Lonchura striata: one gene and its partner. The protein of the gene in region 1 interacts with the protein of each later gene in a biochemical or structural test. Links are inferred from orthologs where the notes say so. Each region holds a gene or a part of one and is shown on either strand. Other genes may lie near its edges. The genes, in order: TOP2A and PIAS4.

Evidence for each region.
Region 2: of the proteins of TOP2A (region 1) and PIAS4, one has a biochemical effect on the other in vitro, tested with the Homo sapiens proteins (2 studies listed by BioGRID). The link is inferred for Lonchura striata from reciprocal best matches to the Homo sapiens genes TOP2A and PIAS4.

The regions. Positions count from the first base shown.
Region 1 is NC_134627.1:6,902,596-6,910,763, forward strand, and holds the start of TOP2A (DNA topoisomerase 2-alpha), read left to right. Parts: upstream 1-4,963; 5' UTR 4,964-5,031; coding exon 5,032-5,064; intron 5,065-5,369; coding exon 5,370-5,513; intron 5,514-5,697; coding exon 5,698-5,788; intron 5,789-6,165; coding exon 6,166-6,229; intron 6,230-6,682; coding exon 6,683-6,828; intron 6,829-7,434; coding exon 7,435-7,532; intron 7,533-7,815; coding exon 7,816-8,028; intron 8,029-8,168. UniProt on the Homo sapiens protein: Key decatenating enzyme that alters DNA topology by binding to two double-stranded DNA molecules, generating a double-stranded break in one of the strands, passing the intact strand through the broken strand, and religating the broken strand.
Region 2 is NC_134630.1:6,828,872-6,836,328, reverse strand, and holds the start of PIAS4 (E3 SUMO-protein ligase PIAS4), read left to right. Parts: upstream 1-4,322; 5' UTR 4,323-4,384; coding exon 4,385-4,411; intron 4,412-7,075; coding exon 7,076-7,457. Other genes in the region: EEF2 (elongation factor 2), read right to left, coding at 1-78, 803-1,017, 1,629-1,631.

The DNA of each region.
Region 1 (8,168 bases):
TCCCAGCCCAGCCTGTCCTGGGGGACAGGGCCCTGGGGGGGGATGGGGTACCTGGGCTCACCAGCCCCCAGCCCTGCCCTGGGGGAGCAGCCCCATTCCCCAGCCCTCAGAGTGCTCCAGGGCTGCCCCGGGACTGCCCCAGTCCTAGCACTGAGGGGCCCAGGGAACACAGGGGCTCCACTCCACACTCACCACCCTGTGCCATCTGTCCTCAGGGTGAGAAGGGCGAGCATGGGCTGCCAGGCATGCCAGGGAGCCCTGGCCGGACCGGAGAGCCAGGCTCCCCGGGCATGCCCGGTCCCATGGGGCCACCAGGACCACCAGGGGACTACAGGGTGAGTAGGGCGTCCCGAGCTGTGGGTCCTGGGTGGGGGGAATGCCAGTGTCACCCCACACATCCTCTCTTTGCAGTGCGACTCACGCCACACTGGTCACCGTGGATTGGCTGGGCTGCCAGGTCCCAAGGTGAGCTGGGCACCATGGGCAGGAGTCCTGGGGAGGGGGCATGGGCACAGCACTGGGCATGGCACCCTGGACAAACAGCTCCATGGTGGGTGGTACCCTGGCTGGGAGGCTGGGAGGGCTGGGGACCCCCAGAACTGGGCACTCACAGGATCTGTCACTTCCCTTCCAGGGAGAAAAGGGCGACCCTGGAGAGCCGGTTTGTAGCCACCAGCAGCAGTGTGGGGGGGGGTCCCATCCCCATCCCCACACCTGAGTGTGCCCCCCTGAGCCCTCTGTGCTGCCTTTGCTCCCCCAACACCCTTCACCTACCCCCGGGGCACAGGGTGTGGGAGGAGACACACCATGGCACACACGGGGCACACACGTGCACACCTGTGCCACCCATAAACATCCCCAGCACACCCCAGACCCCCCCCAGACTCAGCACGGACTCTAATCCTGCCTCTCTCTGCGGCTCACCCAGGGGTGCTGCTATGGGGAGCACGGGTGCAAACCAGGGCACCTCCCCTTCCCCAGCACCGGCTCATGGGGGTCCATCAACAGGTACCAGACGGTGAGTGGCCAGGGGAAGGGGTGCCCAGGGACCCCAGCCCAGCCCTGGGGACGTGGTTCACCCCACTGGCAACCCCACGGGACGGGGTTGGAGGAAGGAGAGGGGGAGAATGGAAAATGGAGAGAGAGGGAGGATGGAGATCAATCTCAGTCTTCCTTTGCAGGATGGGAAAGATGAACCAGAGATTTATGGAGCGATCATCCCTCATGTGAGAGTCCCTGCCTGGCCGGGGTCTGCGCTGCCCCAGCCAGGGACATTGAGCCCTGGGAGGGGACAGGAGTGGGAAGCGTGGGGGACATCAATTGGGTGTCAGAGCTGCCCCCCTGAACGGCAGCACCAAAACAGCCAAGTTCAATCTCCACACTGCTCTACCACAGGGTCTTCGAGGTCCCCCTGGGAACCCCGGTCCCCCTGGGCCCCCCGGCCCCCCTGGCCCACCAGGTCTCCTCTACCTCAACGTAAGGCCCAGCACTGGTGTGCACACGCCTGTGCCAGAGCACACACACGTGTGAGTGTGCACAGCACCAGGGCCCCCCCAAACCTGCCTGTCTTTGGTTGCAGAGGATGCACCCCGTGCATGCCCAGCAGCCCTGCAAGCAGCCGGTAAGCCACGGCCTCGCTGCCCCAAGAGTGTCCCCATCTCCTCCCTGTGCATCAGGAGGGGTGTCCCTCTCCCTGTGCCCAGCAGCAGACACAGACTCTGTTTGCCTTCACAGGCACCTGCAGATCGCAGCTGGCCATCAGGTGAGGAGGTTTCCCAGGTGTTTTGGGGGCTGCAGCCTCCCTGGAGACACTTTTCCTAAAGTCTTGCCTCCCTTCCTTGGGTGCCGGGACCGTGCAGCACGGGTCCCTGGCACCACTGCTGGCTCTCCCACCCACTCCCACCGCATCCCTGTGGGGCCAGTTCCCATGGGAGCATCCAGGCCCTATGCTGGGACACCTTGTGACCCCCCACCATCTCTGGGCTCTGCAGATGCTGGTGCCCCTCAGACAGAGCCATCGGACTCCCGCGCTGATCTCCGGGTGCGTCCAGGCTGCGGCCCCAGGCAAACCCCCCCCAGCTGCCCCGTGCCCCACAGCAGGAGCCTCACCCTCTGCCTTCCCCCAGCGCCAGACGTGGGTTTTCAAGTCCAAGGAGCTGATGGTGAAGGCGAGCAGTGCTGTGCCCGAGGGGAGCCTGGTCTATGTGCGGGAAGGGAGCAACGCCTTCCTCCGGACCCCCGCTGGCTGGAGCCGCCTCCTGGTACCGTGTGGGGTCCCTGGCAGGGCTAGGGGGGCAGGATCCAGGGCTGGATTTGGCACTAGGGCAGCAGATCCTCAGGAAGGAGAGGATTTCCCCTAACCTGTCCCTCTGCTTGTGTCATTGAGCAGCTGGAGGATCCGAAGTCGTTCTTGGCTGGTGATGACCCTTCTGCCTCCACCCCGCAGTACCAGGTGAGGGGTGCAGGAGCTGCTGGGTCCACTCATGTCCCTGTAAGGTGACAGAGCCCTTGTCTGCATGATGAAGTGGACAGACCTCACAGGACTGTTTTCTCCTTCTTCTTCCACCTCTCCATCCAGGAGGTGAAGAGGGTGCAGCCAAGAGGTCCCAACACGCTGTCACTCATGCAGTCTCCAACAGACTCACTGGTGAGCCCTGCTGAGGGTCTGGCCATGCTGGGAGGGATGTGCATAGCATGGGCTGGATGTCAGCAGGGCAGTGCCAGCTCAGCATGAGCAGAACATGGGGTTGTGTTGGTCTGGGGAGGGTGCCCCCAAGTCATGGCACATGGATGCGTGTCCCCAGACTGATCTGAGCTGTGTTTTTGCAGATCCAGAAGGAGGAGGAACACGGATTGCCCCAGATTCTGCCAACCACCACAGCCCCACGGATCCCATCTGTAAGGAATGCCTGGCCCCAGGGTGGGGATGAACAGCCAGTCATGGGAGAGGGGGGAGAGGTACCCAGGGGACCCCCAATTCTGGCCAGCACTGCCAGAGGCTCACACCCTCTGAGAAGAGAGGAGCAGAGACCTCCATTCCTCCCTGCCGCCCCCAGCTCCGCCTGGCTGCCCTCAACGTGCCGCTGTGGGGTGACATGAGCGGGATCCGGGGCGCTGACCTGCAGTGCTACCGGCAGTCACAGGAGGCCGGGCTCCACGGCACCTTCCGGGCCTTCCTGTCGGCCCCCAGCCAGCACCTGGTGTCCATCGTCAAGCGGACAGACAGGAGCCTCCCCATTGTCAACCTGAAGGCAGGTACCCCGTCCCCAGGGGTGGCACAGCCTCACAGCCCCCGTGAGCTGCTGTGGGTGGGGGACGCCCACCCAGTCCTGCTGCCGTGCTCAGGGATTTGGGGTGCTGGCAGAGCAGAGAGGATGTCATTGCCCACACAATGCTGGGGACAAGGGGCATTCTCCTGGCCCCTGGCTCAGCACCGTGGCTCGTGCCCACAGGGGCAGCTGCTGGCCAAGTCCTGGAGCTCCCTTTTTGGGGGTCAGTCTGGTGCTGTCCTGCAGAGTCCCATCTACTCCTTCAACGGGCGCAACATCCTGGCAGATCCCCTCTGGTGAGTGTGGACAGGTCCTGGATGGATGGCCCTGTGTGGGAGCTGGAACGGGGGGTCTGTGCTGGCTCCCACCCTGCAGAAGTGCAGGAGCAAAGAGCTGGGGCACCCCAGGGTGCCCCCAGCCCCTCTCACCCTGTCCCCACCCACAGGCCCCACCGGCTAGCCTGGCACGGCTCCACGCCACGGGGTGGCCATGCCCACCGGTGGGATTGCCAGGGCTGGCGCAGCTCTGGCTCAGCCGAGGGCATGGCCACTGCCCTGGGCGAGGGCCGGCTGCTGGCCGGCCACCGCCACAACTGCTCCATACCGCTGGCCGTGCTCTGCATCGAGGTGGCTTTTCCTTACCGGCACATGTGGTGACAATGGTGACACGCAAGCAGGAGCTCCAGGCATTCTTCCAGGCCTGTGTGGCTGGGGAATGTCCCCGGGAGCACCATGGGAGGTGTCGGAGCTGTGTCGGAGCACTGAGGGGACACCGGGTGTGCAACCAGACTGTGCCATGCCCAGCTCCAGCTGCGCCATCCCACAGATCCCCGTGCCATGGGGCAATGTTAGGCTGTGCCTCCAGCCTCCTAAACCCACTGGAGTCAACACGGTCACCACCCAGAAATAAAGATACAAAAATGTTGGTTTTTATGACACCATGCTTTGTTCTGGGGGCACATGGCAGCAAGGGACTGAGGGGACACACCCGGGAATGGGAACAGGGACTGGAAGGGCTGGGAGCAGGCTCTAGTCCCCTGGGGATTGGCAGTAACTGGGAGGGGACACCCTGGCACAGGTCTGCATGTCAGCAAGGTCTGTTTTGGTCTCAGAACACAGTGTGGTCCAGTATATCCCAGCCAAATCTTGCTAAGTGTATTCCTGTGGGTTCCTGAGGCCCTCCCAGTGTATCCCAGTGGGTGTCCAAGGGGTTGGGACATTTTGTCCACTGAAACCCAGTGATTCCAAATGTATCCCAGTGCATGTCCAGGGTCTGCCCAGTATCCCATGTCCAATGGGTCTGTCCAGTGTCCCAGTTCAATAGGTCCCAGTGAATCCCTGGGGCTTGCCCAGTGTGTAGCAGTACCCCAGTGGGTCCACAGGGTCTGTCCAGTGTATTCCAGTGTGTGTCCGGGGGTTCCCAGTGTGTCCCAGTGTATCCCAGTGTATCCCAGTATGTCCCACCACCAACGGCAAACGGGAACCTCCGGCACCCTCCCTGCCGCTTCTCTATTGGTCCATCCTGCTGTCCATCTCATCGCTCTCCCTCCCGACTGGCCGGTTTGAACGCGCGGTGCGGCCTCTGATAGGTCAGAGGGCGGGCAGAGTTCCAGCCGTGTGCCCGTCCCCGCACTGCGATTGGCAGAGCGCCGGGGGCCGCGAGCGGGGATTGGCCGCGCGTTTCGGCGGGACGAGCGGAGGTTTGAAGGGTCGTTGGCGCCGCCATCACCGCCTCAGCCGCTCTGGCCGCCGCCGCCGCCGCCATGGAGCTCTCTCAGCCCTCGTCACCTCTCCGGGTGCGTCCTGCCACCACCGCTGCCCCCGACCCTGCGGAGCTTTGTGATCCGCCTCCATACCGTCCCCTCGAGCCCCCCTCAGCCCCGCCGGGCACCCGCAAGTTCGCCCTGTCCCCCCCTCAGCGTTTCCCCGGGTCCTTCTCAGCCCCCTCCTTGGGTCTCCTTCAGGGTATCCGCAGGCCCCTCTCTCGGCTCTTTTCCCAGCCCTCCCGCTCCTGCGCGATTCCGATGCTCTTCCCCGCCTCGGCCTGGCCCCATGCGTTGTCCCTGTTCGCCCCCTCACCGCCGCTGCCTCTCCCCCACAGCCCGCGAACGAGAACATCCCCGTGGGCAAGGCCGATGGCCCCAAGAAGCTCACGGTGGAGCACATCTACCAGAAGAAGACGCAGCTGGAGCACATCCTGCTCCGGCCAGACACCTACATCGGCTCCGTGGAGCTCGTCACCCAGGTGGGAGCAGGGGGCAGCGGGGCTGAGCCCCCCGAGCACCTCGGGGCAGGCGGGGAGCTCTTAGCAGCTGTTTACAAAGCACAAAACATCTGCTTATCAATCACAAAACAACTGCTTTACAAACTGATGCGCACGGAAGAGGGGTTGTATCTGGGCACTTACAGATTCCTTCTTTTTTTCCCAGCAAATGTGGGTTTTTGATGAAGGCGTTGGCCTCAACTGCAGAGATGTGACCTTTGTGCCTGGCTTGTACAAAATCTTTGATGAGATTCTGGGTAAGCTGACATCCATTGAGTCAGTGAATGACGGGTTATTAACGGATATAAATTAGTAAGAACTTATTAGCACTGCTTAATAGCAAGCCATTCATTTGAAACAAAGAAAAATTTCAAAAATCTAATTACAAACCTGCCCAAAATTCTCCTTTTTATGTCAATGGTTGCACTGAAGGAATTCAGAGGTCATTTCCAACCTTCATAATTCCATGATAACTTGCACTCCTCTTTGTAATTTGCAAAATATTTTCATGCTGAGATGATTATTAGCAACACTGTAGTGACTTTTTATGTTCATTCTACTGGAACACTTCATAATTCATCATTTTCCCTTGATTGAGAATGTAATAAAAAAAAATATTCTCTTTCCTTCCTAGTGAATGCTGCAGACAACAAGCAGAGGGATAAAAACATGTCATGCATTAAAGTCACAATTGATGTGTAAGTTTGGTTTCATTGTTGTTGGTTGCCTTCAGCTGTTCTGCAAAGCTGAGGTGGCACTGCAGGGCTGTGGGGCTGATCTGAGATAGCCCAAATTTAATTCACCAGTTGTGGAAAGCCTTTCTCTGTGCTTATTCCCCTGGTCTCTTACAGAGGCCTGACTGGGGAAATGGCTGCTCTTTCGTTGCTGTGGTTTTCCACCTCTTCCTCTCTCTTTTCACCCTGATTGAGCACAGACAGGGGGGTTTTGTGTGTGGGTCCATTTCAGAGCCGGCATGTGCAGATCTGGGCATTTCTGTGTTGCCTGTCCCCCCTCTGCTGGCAGCTGCTGCACTTGCTGAGCACACATTTGTTCCTGGTGAAATGGTGCCTTTTCCTCAGAGCCTTTTGGTGACTTCTTTCACAGCTCAGCCATTTGCAGCCTTAAAAACAGACTTTTCTTTCCCTCCCCAGAGAGAATAACACAATCAGTGTGTGGAACAATGGGAAAGGTATCCCAGTTGTTGAACACAAAGTGGAGAAGGTCTATGTGCCTGCTATGATCTTTGGACAGCTGCTGACATCCAGCAACTATGATGACAATGAGAAGAAAGTCACAGGTGAGGAAGGCTCTGGTATGCACTAATACCTCTGAGCAGCTCTAAGTGTGTGACCTGAACTAGAAAGGGCAGGAAGGGAGTCCTTAATGCAGTCTGAAAACTGAACAAGGGGAAATTTAGATGAGATATACAGAAGACATTCCTCTCTGTGACGGTGGTGTGGTTCTGGCACAGAGAAGCTGTGGCTGCCCCACTCCTGGAAGTGTCCAAGGCCATGTTGGACAGGGCTTGAAGCAACGTGGGCTAGTGGAATGTGCCCTGCCTACAGCAAATAGTGGGACTGGATGGGCTTTAAGGTTCCTTCCAAACCAAATTATTCTATGATTCTATGAAAATGATGTTCTGAATCTATCAGAGAAGTCTATGTGCTCTGTTTAACATAACAACAGTGCAAACATGGGAACAGGGAAAATGGTCTTTGAATATTCTCTTAAACCCTAATTAAATCAAAGTTTGTAATTGCATACTAAGCTTGTAGAATATTGTTGCTTCTTGACAGTTGTCTTAGAATTGGGTGGACATTGACAAACTCCAGTTAGTCTTGGATTCTCTTAGATGGTTTTGGACAAAGAGAATAACACAAGTCTGTGTTCCTTCTAATTCCAGGGGGGAGAAATGGTTATGGAGCCAAACTGTGCAACATATTCAGCAAAAAATTTACTGTGGAAACTGGATGTCGTGAATACAAAAAGTTGTTCAAGCAGGTAGGAGCACTTTTCTTTCCAGGGAGTTTATAACTGAGGTTTTCAAATGAGATCCTAAGGTTTTGTTTCAAAACTAGTTCAGTGTGATTAGAGTAAATTTGACCCACAAAATGTAATTCAAAGGAATAAAGAAATTAGCAGACAGCATCAGAATCTGGTTTTTAACCAGAGTTTTTGTTTAATTCAAAGATATCTAAACCACATAAACCATCTTACTGCTTTTAAAGACTAAGGTAGTTATGTGTGTGTTTGACTTGAAAGTCACCAAAGTTCCTTTCCTCAGACGTGGACAGACAATATGGGAAAGGCTGGAGAAATGAAGCTGAAATACTTTGATGGAGATGATTACACCTGTGTCACTTTCCAACCTGATCTGTCCAAATTCAAAATGACTGTTCTGGATAAGGACATTGTAGCACTGATGTCTCGAAGAGCCTATGATATTGCTGGATCCACAAAGGATGTCAAAGTTTTCCTGAATGGACAGAGGCTTCCTGTAAGTGAGCATTGAAAAGAAACACAAATATCTGGGGTTTTTTTTTGTGCCAGTTAACCAGTGTGATTCTTTTGAGGCTCTCATCACACAGAGCAAAGGAACACATGCAAGAGAGATTTTTTGCAGGAGAATGTGAATTA
Region 2 (7,457 bases), on another chromosome or scaffold:
AAGAAACCGGAACCATCCTTGCTCTGCTTGATGAAGGCCAAGTCGTTCTCAGAGAGCTCATAAAACAGAGAAATGGCTCTGAAAGAAAGCAGAAACTATTAAAATGATGATTGTGCTCAGGATCGTTTTCTCCCTAAAGCTCAGAGATGTTCTGCCCCACAAAACATCCCTGCCCCAGCACTGGAGGTGGCACCCAGTGCTCTGCTCCCGGTTGGAGTTGATGTCCTTGGAGATCTTTTCCAAGCTAGATGCTGGGCTCCAGGATTTCCTGGAGCGTATTCCAGGGAGGTCAGTGTGTGAGATAACAGAAGCACAGGCTACAACCTGTCCTTCCTAAACCATAACATCCTCCAGAATCCCAACCTCCTCCAGCTCCCTACAGTTCTCCAGCACGCATAAAGGGCTCCATTCCCAGATTGTGGATTTAGGCTTTTCCTACTAATCCCAACCGTGTTCTCCACCCCTTTTCTGGCCCCTCAGAGTCCTCACACGCCCTGTGGCAGCACAGCCACCAGGTGCATCCCCAGAGACGCTCCCAAGAGTCTCCACACCGCATCCATGGACATCCAACAATCCTGGTGCTGAACTGGGAGGGTGAAGCTCCTGCTTCCCCAATGCCCAGCAAACAATTGCTCCATGATTGAGCAGAAGCCAGTCAACACTTGCTCCACCATTCAAGACCCTCAGGAACATGACATGAGCTTCTGGACTAGACCAAAGTCCAACAGCACCTCCTGGAGGAGTCCAATCCCCCCTGAGTTCAGCCCAGGCAGCAGCAGGAGTCCGAGGGGAGGGCACTCACGTGGATTTGATGGTGATGCACCGTTCCTGCTCGTCCTTGCGGGTGTCGGTGAACCGGGTCTCCCCGGCCCGCGCTGAGGCGATGATCCCAGCCTTGCACACCAGGGAATCCGTCAGCGTGGACTTGCCGTGGTCCACGTGGGCGATCACCGACATGTTCCTGATGTTGGCCTTTTTATCCATGATGGCCCGTATCTGGTCTACTGTGAAGTTCACCTTGAAGTAGGGGAGGAGGGGGACTCAGCGCGTACAAAAACAGCTTTGGCAGTTCCAAGGAAGCCGACTCTGCCCTAAACACCCGCCACGACCGCGGTGACACCACCTCTGCCCGGGTGACAACACAACCCGCAGCCAGGGCAGCGCAGCGGGGCTGCGGCACCGACCCCTCCCTGCCCCGGTGGCCCTCCAGCCGCGGTGCCAGCGGGCGCAGGGCGCCCCCAGAAGCGAGCCCGGCCCGGCCCGGTGCCGGCCCGGCCCGGTGCCAGCCCGGCCCGGTGCCGGTGCCAGCCCGGCCCGCAGCGTTACATAAGGCACGGCCGGCACCGCAGCGCCCCGAGCCCGGCGCTGCCACATCAGCGCTCCCGAGCCCCGCGGCACAACGGCGGCCCCGGCACCGGCCCCGGCGGTCCCGCCGGTGTCACGGCCGCCCGGACCGGCCCCCTCCCGCCGCCCCACCCTCTCCCCGCAGCCGCGGCCCAGGCCGGCAGCACAGGCCGCAGCCGCCGCCGTGTGACCGGCGGCGCTCGCGGAACTGCCATCCCCGGCGATACGGGGAGCGCGATGGTCGCTAATCCCGCCGGCAGCGGCGGCGGGCGGCGGGGGCTCACCATGGTGGCGGATGGCGGCGGATGCTGCGGGGCGGGGGGGTCACGGCAATGGCGGCGGCTCGGCCCTGTCTCGCTGGCGAGCGCAGAGCGGGCGGAAGAGAGCGCTGACGTCAGCCGGCGCCCTCTTATAGGGCGGCGCCGCCGAGGGGCGGGGCCGGCGCCGAGCGCGTGCGCGGCCGCGCCGCTCTATCCCGCGCGCTCTATGGCCGGGAGGATGTCCCGCCTCGCCGGCACCACGTGGGGGTCACCGGGGCTGCACCGGGACTGCAGCGAGGCGACACCGGGGGAACAGCGACCGGCAGCGGCAGCCCCGCCCCGCCCGGGCTGCAACGGGGGGGGACAGTCCGCCCCTCCCGCTGCCGGTGTAGGAACCGGCTCGGAGCAGTGAGGCCGCCCTCGGAGCGGTATCACCGAGCGGCAGGCGAGCACGGGGGCTCAGCCGCTAGGAGAAGGCGGTAGGGCCGAGCCCGGTGGCAGGCAGCGGTCCGGGATCCCGGTGGGTCCGGGACACCTGTGGGTCCGCCTCGCCCCGCTCCCGCAGGGGGCTCGCAGTGCGCATGCTCCGGGCGGGCCGGTGCCGCAGCGCCCCCTGCGGGCAGGGAGGAGCGCGGCCGCACCGGGATCCGCACCGGGAGCGGCACCGGGATCCGCACCGGGAGCGGCCCCGGGATCCGCACCGGGAGCGGCCCCGGGATCCGCACCGGGAACGGCTCCGGATCCGCACGGGGAGCGGCCCCGGATCCGCACCGGGAGCGGCACCGGGATCCGCACCGGGAGCGGCCCCGGGATCCGCACCGGGAGCGGCACCGGGATCCGCACCGGGAGCGGCCCCGGATCCGCACCGGGAGTGGCACCGGGAGCGGCCCCGCGATCCGCACCGGGAGCGGACAAGGATCCGCACCGGGAGCGGACAAGGATCCGCACCGGGAGCGGCACCGGGAGCGGCACCGGGATCCGCACCGGGAGCGGCACCGGGATCCGCACCGGGAGTGGCACCGGGAGCGGCCCCGGGATCCGCACCGGGAGCGGCCCCGGATCCGCACCGGGAGTGGCACCGGGAGCGGCCCCGCGATCCGCACCGGGAGCGGACAAGGATCCGCACCGGGAGCGGACAAGGATCCGCACCGGGAGTGGCACCGGGATCCGCACCGGGAGCGGCCCCGGCCGGAGCCGCCCGCCGGGTCCGGTGGCACGGGGCCGCAGAGCTCGGGCTCCAGCCGTCCCTGTGCGCCCGCATCGCCTCAGAGCCGACAGAAACGTTGGAATGAACGGCTCGGGTCGGAAGGGACGCGGAGGAACATCCAGCGCCATGGCAGGGACACCTCCCACCATCCCGGGCTGCTCCAGCCTGGCCCTGGGCACTGCCAGCCACGGCTGCTCTGGGAATTCCATCCCAGCCCCTGCCCACCCTCCCAGGCAGGAATTCCATCCCAAAATCCCATCCATCCCTGCCCTCTGGCAGCGGAAGCCGTTCCTTGTATTCCTGTCCTTCCACCCCTTGTCCAAAGTCTCTCTTCCCATATTCCTTGTGGGGTCCCTTCAGGTCCTGAAGGCTGCAATGAGCTCGCCCAAAAACTTCTCTTCTCCAGGCTGGACAATCCCACTTCTCTCACTGGCAGCTCCCAAATTCCCAGCACATTCCCAGGCAGGATGGCCACGGGGCTGCACCCGGGATGGATTGACAGGATGAATTATCGGCCTCTGGGGTTTCCATAGCAATCTGGGGGATTTTTAGCACCAACCCTGATTTTTGCCAGCCTAGAAGGGAAAAGTTGGAAACCTGATGAGCATCCTGCTCTTCCTGAGAAATTGTTAATTGCCTTTTTGATTAATTAGTATGTGGGGTTGATGGCAAGGAGAGGAAAGTGCTGGAAAACCTTTCCCAGCGCAGCGTTTCACCTCAAACACTGAGGTTACCCTGAAATCATCCAGTCCAACTCCTGGCCCTGCACAGACACCCCAACACCCTGTCCCAGAGTGTTTTCCAAAGGCTCCTGGAGCTCCGGCAGGGTTGGGAATGTGCCCGTTCCCTGGGGAGCCTGGGCAGTGCCCACCACCCTCAGAGGCAGAACCTTTCCCTGAGCTCCATCCCAAATCCCCGGCACAGCTCCAGCTGTTCCCTGGCTCGTGTCCCTGCTCCCAGAGCAGAGATGGGAGCTGCCTATCGGGGAAAAGCTGCAAACCACAATGTATTTATTATTATCATTATCATTATTACTATTATTATTGTTATATGGAAGGTATTTTTAATAAGCAATGGGTTCTGTCGCAGAAGGGGCCACAAACACTGACCAGAGAAGGAACCGGGACCCATCCCCATCCCTTCCCCTCTACATCCCCCCAGCACTTCCCTCCTCACCGGGGCCGCCGGCGGAGCCTCGGGCCGAGCCCACCGGGCGCTGCCCTGCCCCGGGGCACCCACCTGGTGCCATCCTGGGGGCAGCACCCACCGCCTGCCCACCCCTTCCCCGTCCCGCAGTGCCCGCGGCACCGCCTCCATCCCCGGTCCCGCCGCCGTTCCCCCCCACCCCCGCCACCCCGCGGTGCTGCCCCGGTTTGCGGTGCGCGGCCCCTTTAAGACTCTCGCGGGGGAGGCGTGGCCTGGCGGGGCGTGGCTCGCGAGGGGGGCGTGGCCGGGGGGGCGCGCGCGGCGATTGGGCGGCGCTCGCGGCCCCGCCCCCTCCCTCCGCCCCGCCCGGCGCGAGGCCGTCACGTGACCCGGCGGCGGCCGGCGCGGCGGACGCTGCAGGCCCAAGATGGCGGCGGAGCTGGTGGAGGCGAAGGTGAGGGAAGCGGCGCCGCCGCCCCGCCCGCGGGGCCCGGCCGCCACCGGGCGGCTCCCGGCGCGGGCACACGGCGTGGGGGCGGTGCTGCGAACCGCGGGGGCGGCGCTCCGGGGCCTCCCCTTCGCCTTTTTTACCTCAGACACTGCCCCGCCCCGGCCTCAGGGCCGCAGCCCCCGCCGGACCTCCCGGCGCCGAACCGGGCCGAAGCGGGCCGCGGCGCTGCCCGCGCTCCTCGGGGCTGCCCCCGCCGTGGCTTTCCCCCCGAATTCCCGCGGGGAAGGCTCGCTGGTGCCGGTGGCGCTCCGGGGGTGGAGCGGCTCGGTGCGGAGCTGTCCGCTGGGACGGGCACTGCCGGGGGCAGCGGCGGCCCCGCGCCCCTCCGGGATGGGGGAAGCGCGGGTGCGCTCGCAGCTGTGCGGTTCGTGCCCTGCAGAGCAGCGGGAGCTTCTCCCGCTGCCCTCGGGATGGCGGCACCGCGGGACCGGGAGAGCGGCCGGTGCCCAGTGCGGTTGGGGAGCCCCGGCCGCGTTCCCGGGCGGTGTTCCCGAGGAAGCGCTCCCCGCCCGCAGGAGCAGCCCCTCGGCAGGGATGGGGCTGGCTGGCCGCAGCAATCCCACCGGGAGCGGCTTTTTTTTGGGGGGGCTCTGCAATTGCAGAGCGGGGAAGGCGCTCCCGGCATCGCGGTGGCCGCAGAGGGTTCTGCGGGCTCTGAGCCGTCCCGCACCGGCGTTCCCGCGAGCAGCAGCGGCCGGGAGCGTCGGGAATCCCGGCGATCCATGTGCTCTCCCTGCTGCCGCGGGGCAGCTCTCGGAGCTCTCTGGGTTTGCTTTGTCTGGGGTTTGTTGTTGTGTCGCTGCTCAAATCTCATCGCACTGCCGGGCCTTCATCCCTTCAAAATGGAAACTCTGCGCTCCGGCTCCGCTTTCCAGGCCAAGACTCCTGGTGAGGTGCTCCAGGAGGAATTCCTGTGCTCCTGGGATGCCCTGGTACCTCCTGCTGCTGTGTCTTGATGAATTTATCTTTCCAAATGCACCTTTTAGCCTCAAATCCCTCAGGGACAAGAAGACTCTCTCCATTTCCTAGCACACTTTAATGATCCTGGTGGGATTTCATCAGCCTTGATGATCTTGGAGGTCTTTTCCAACCTTAATGATCCTGATTCTTTTTTTTTTTTAGTTGAAGAAAACTGAGGCACAAAGTAGATTTCTCCAGGATTTCACAGGTGGTGTCTGGTGGAGCAGCACCATGAATCCAGGGCTCTGAAATTCTCACTTTCTGGCAATTAAACATCTTTTCTCTCCTCTTTAGTCATCAGTCTTTTTTTCCCTTCATCTGGGATATTTTGGGACTCATCACGACTCCCAGAAGTTCTAGCTACAGACAGTGACATAACAGCTTTTGGGTTTTCTGATTAAATGACATATGTAAGGGAAAAGGAGAAAATCAAATGGCATTTTCTCTCTCATTTAATTCCCACACATCCAAAAGTGGCTGTGAAATGTTTCTGGAAACAGTTGTAGCTTTCTTAATTAAAAAAAAAAAAAATCTGTAGCTGGTTTATTCCAGGAAATGATAAGATTGTTAGATTATCTTTTATGCTTTTTTTATTAATTATTAATTCAAGAGTGGGGTAGAGGCTGGGGAACATCTGCTGGATTTTTTTGGTGGAGTTTCTTCTTGAATTCCCATATTCCCCACAAACCAGGAAGGCTGCGGAGTGAATATCTACCAGGTTAATTTGCAGAGCAACTTGAATTTTCTCAGCTGTGTACTTTATAAGCTGTTGTTTTGCAATTCCAAGGCTGTTTGGTGTTTAGGGAGCTGAAATGCCAGCCTGGAGCTGTGGGTTTAATGGGGAGAATTCCTGGTTTCTGATGGGAAGTTGCCTTGTGGCCTTTGACTCTGCTGACAGTTACAGGCCAGACTTGCCCCAGAGAGGGAATTTTGGAAGGCTGAGCTGGGTTTTGCTGCTTATCAGGCACTGAAACTGATAACTGCACCAAGGCAGCTCCTGGCTGGGATCGCAGGGAAGTGCTTGGCATTGCTCTCCTGGGAACACTCTGCTCCCTTCAATAATCGGAATGTCCTTGCATGCTCTAAAATATGTGGGTTTTTACAGATCCTCTGCATGTAGGGAGGATTCTGGAGGGGTTTTCCCATCCAGAAATCCAGAATCGGTGGCCCCAGTTCACCTCAGCCTCGCCTAACTCATTTTGCTTTCCTTCCTGTGCCTTGCACTGACACCATTTGGGATGAAGCTTTCCGTGTTTCTCTGGGAATTCGGGATGCCTCAGGCTGCTGAAGGAGCTCATGAGCTCTTTCACAAGTGAGGCCTCTTGCTTTAGAGCTTTGAGGTCGCTCCTGCTTCCAGCTGGGCTGTCTCGAGGATGTTTAGCATCTGTCCGAGTGATTTTTGAGTCATTTGATGACTGTGCTGGTGGTTTTGTCCTTCAGGTGATATTTCAGTGGGTGATCTCTGCGTTTGCATTGCTCAAACAAGAACTGAGAGCCAAAATTCGGTTGACAGCAGCGGGTTTGGACAGGTTTGGGGTCTTTCTTTGAGGGGAAAATTTTGAATATCTTGCCTTGTAGCTATAAAGTGACAACTAAACCTTTGCCTTTTATAACTATGAGAACATCTTTTAATTTTTTATCCCCCAGAACATGGTGATGAGTTTCCGAGTCTCAGATCTTCAGATGTTGCTGGGTTTTGTTGGCAGGAGTAAAAGCGGACTAAAACACGAGCTAGTGACCCGAGCTTTGCAGCTGGTCCAGTTCGACTGCAGCCCCGAGGTGTTCAAGAAGATCAAGGAGCTCTACGAGACTCGCTACAACAAGAAGGGCTCGGAGGTGGCGCCGCCGCCGGCGCCGCACCGCGCCGAGGCGCTGGCCCTGCACTCGTCCTACGAGCGCGGCGGCGCCGTGCCCCGGCCCCTGCCCGCCGCCAGCATCGACTACCCTGCCCTCTATGGCAAATACCTGAACGGACTGGGCAGGTTGCCCCCCAAAGTGGCCAAGCCTGAGGTTCGCTTGGTCAAGTTGC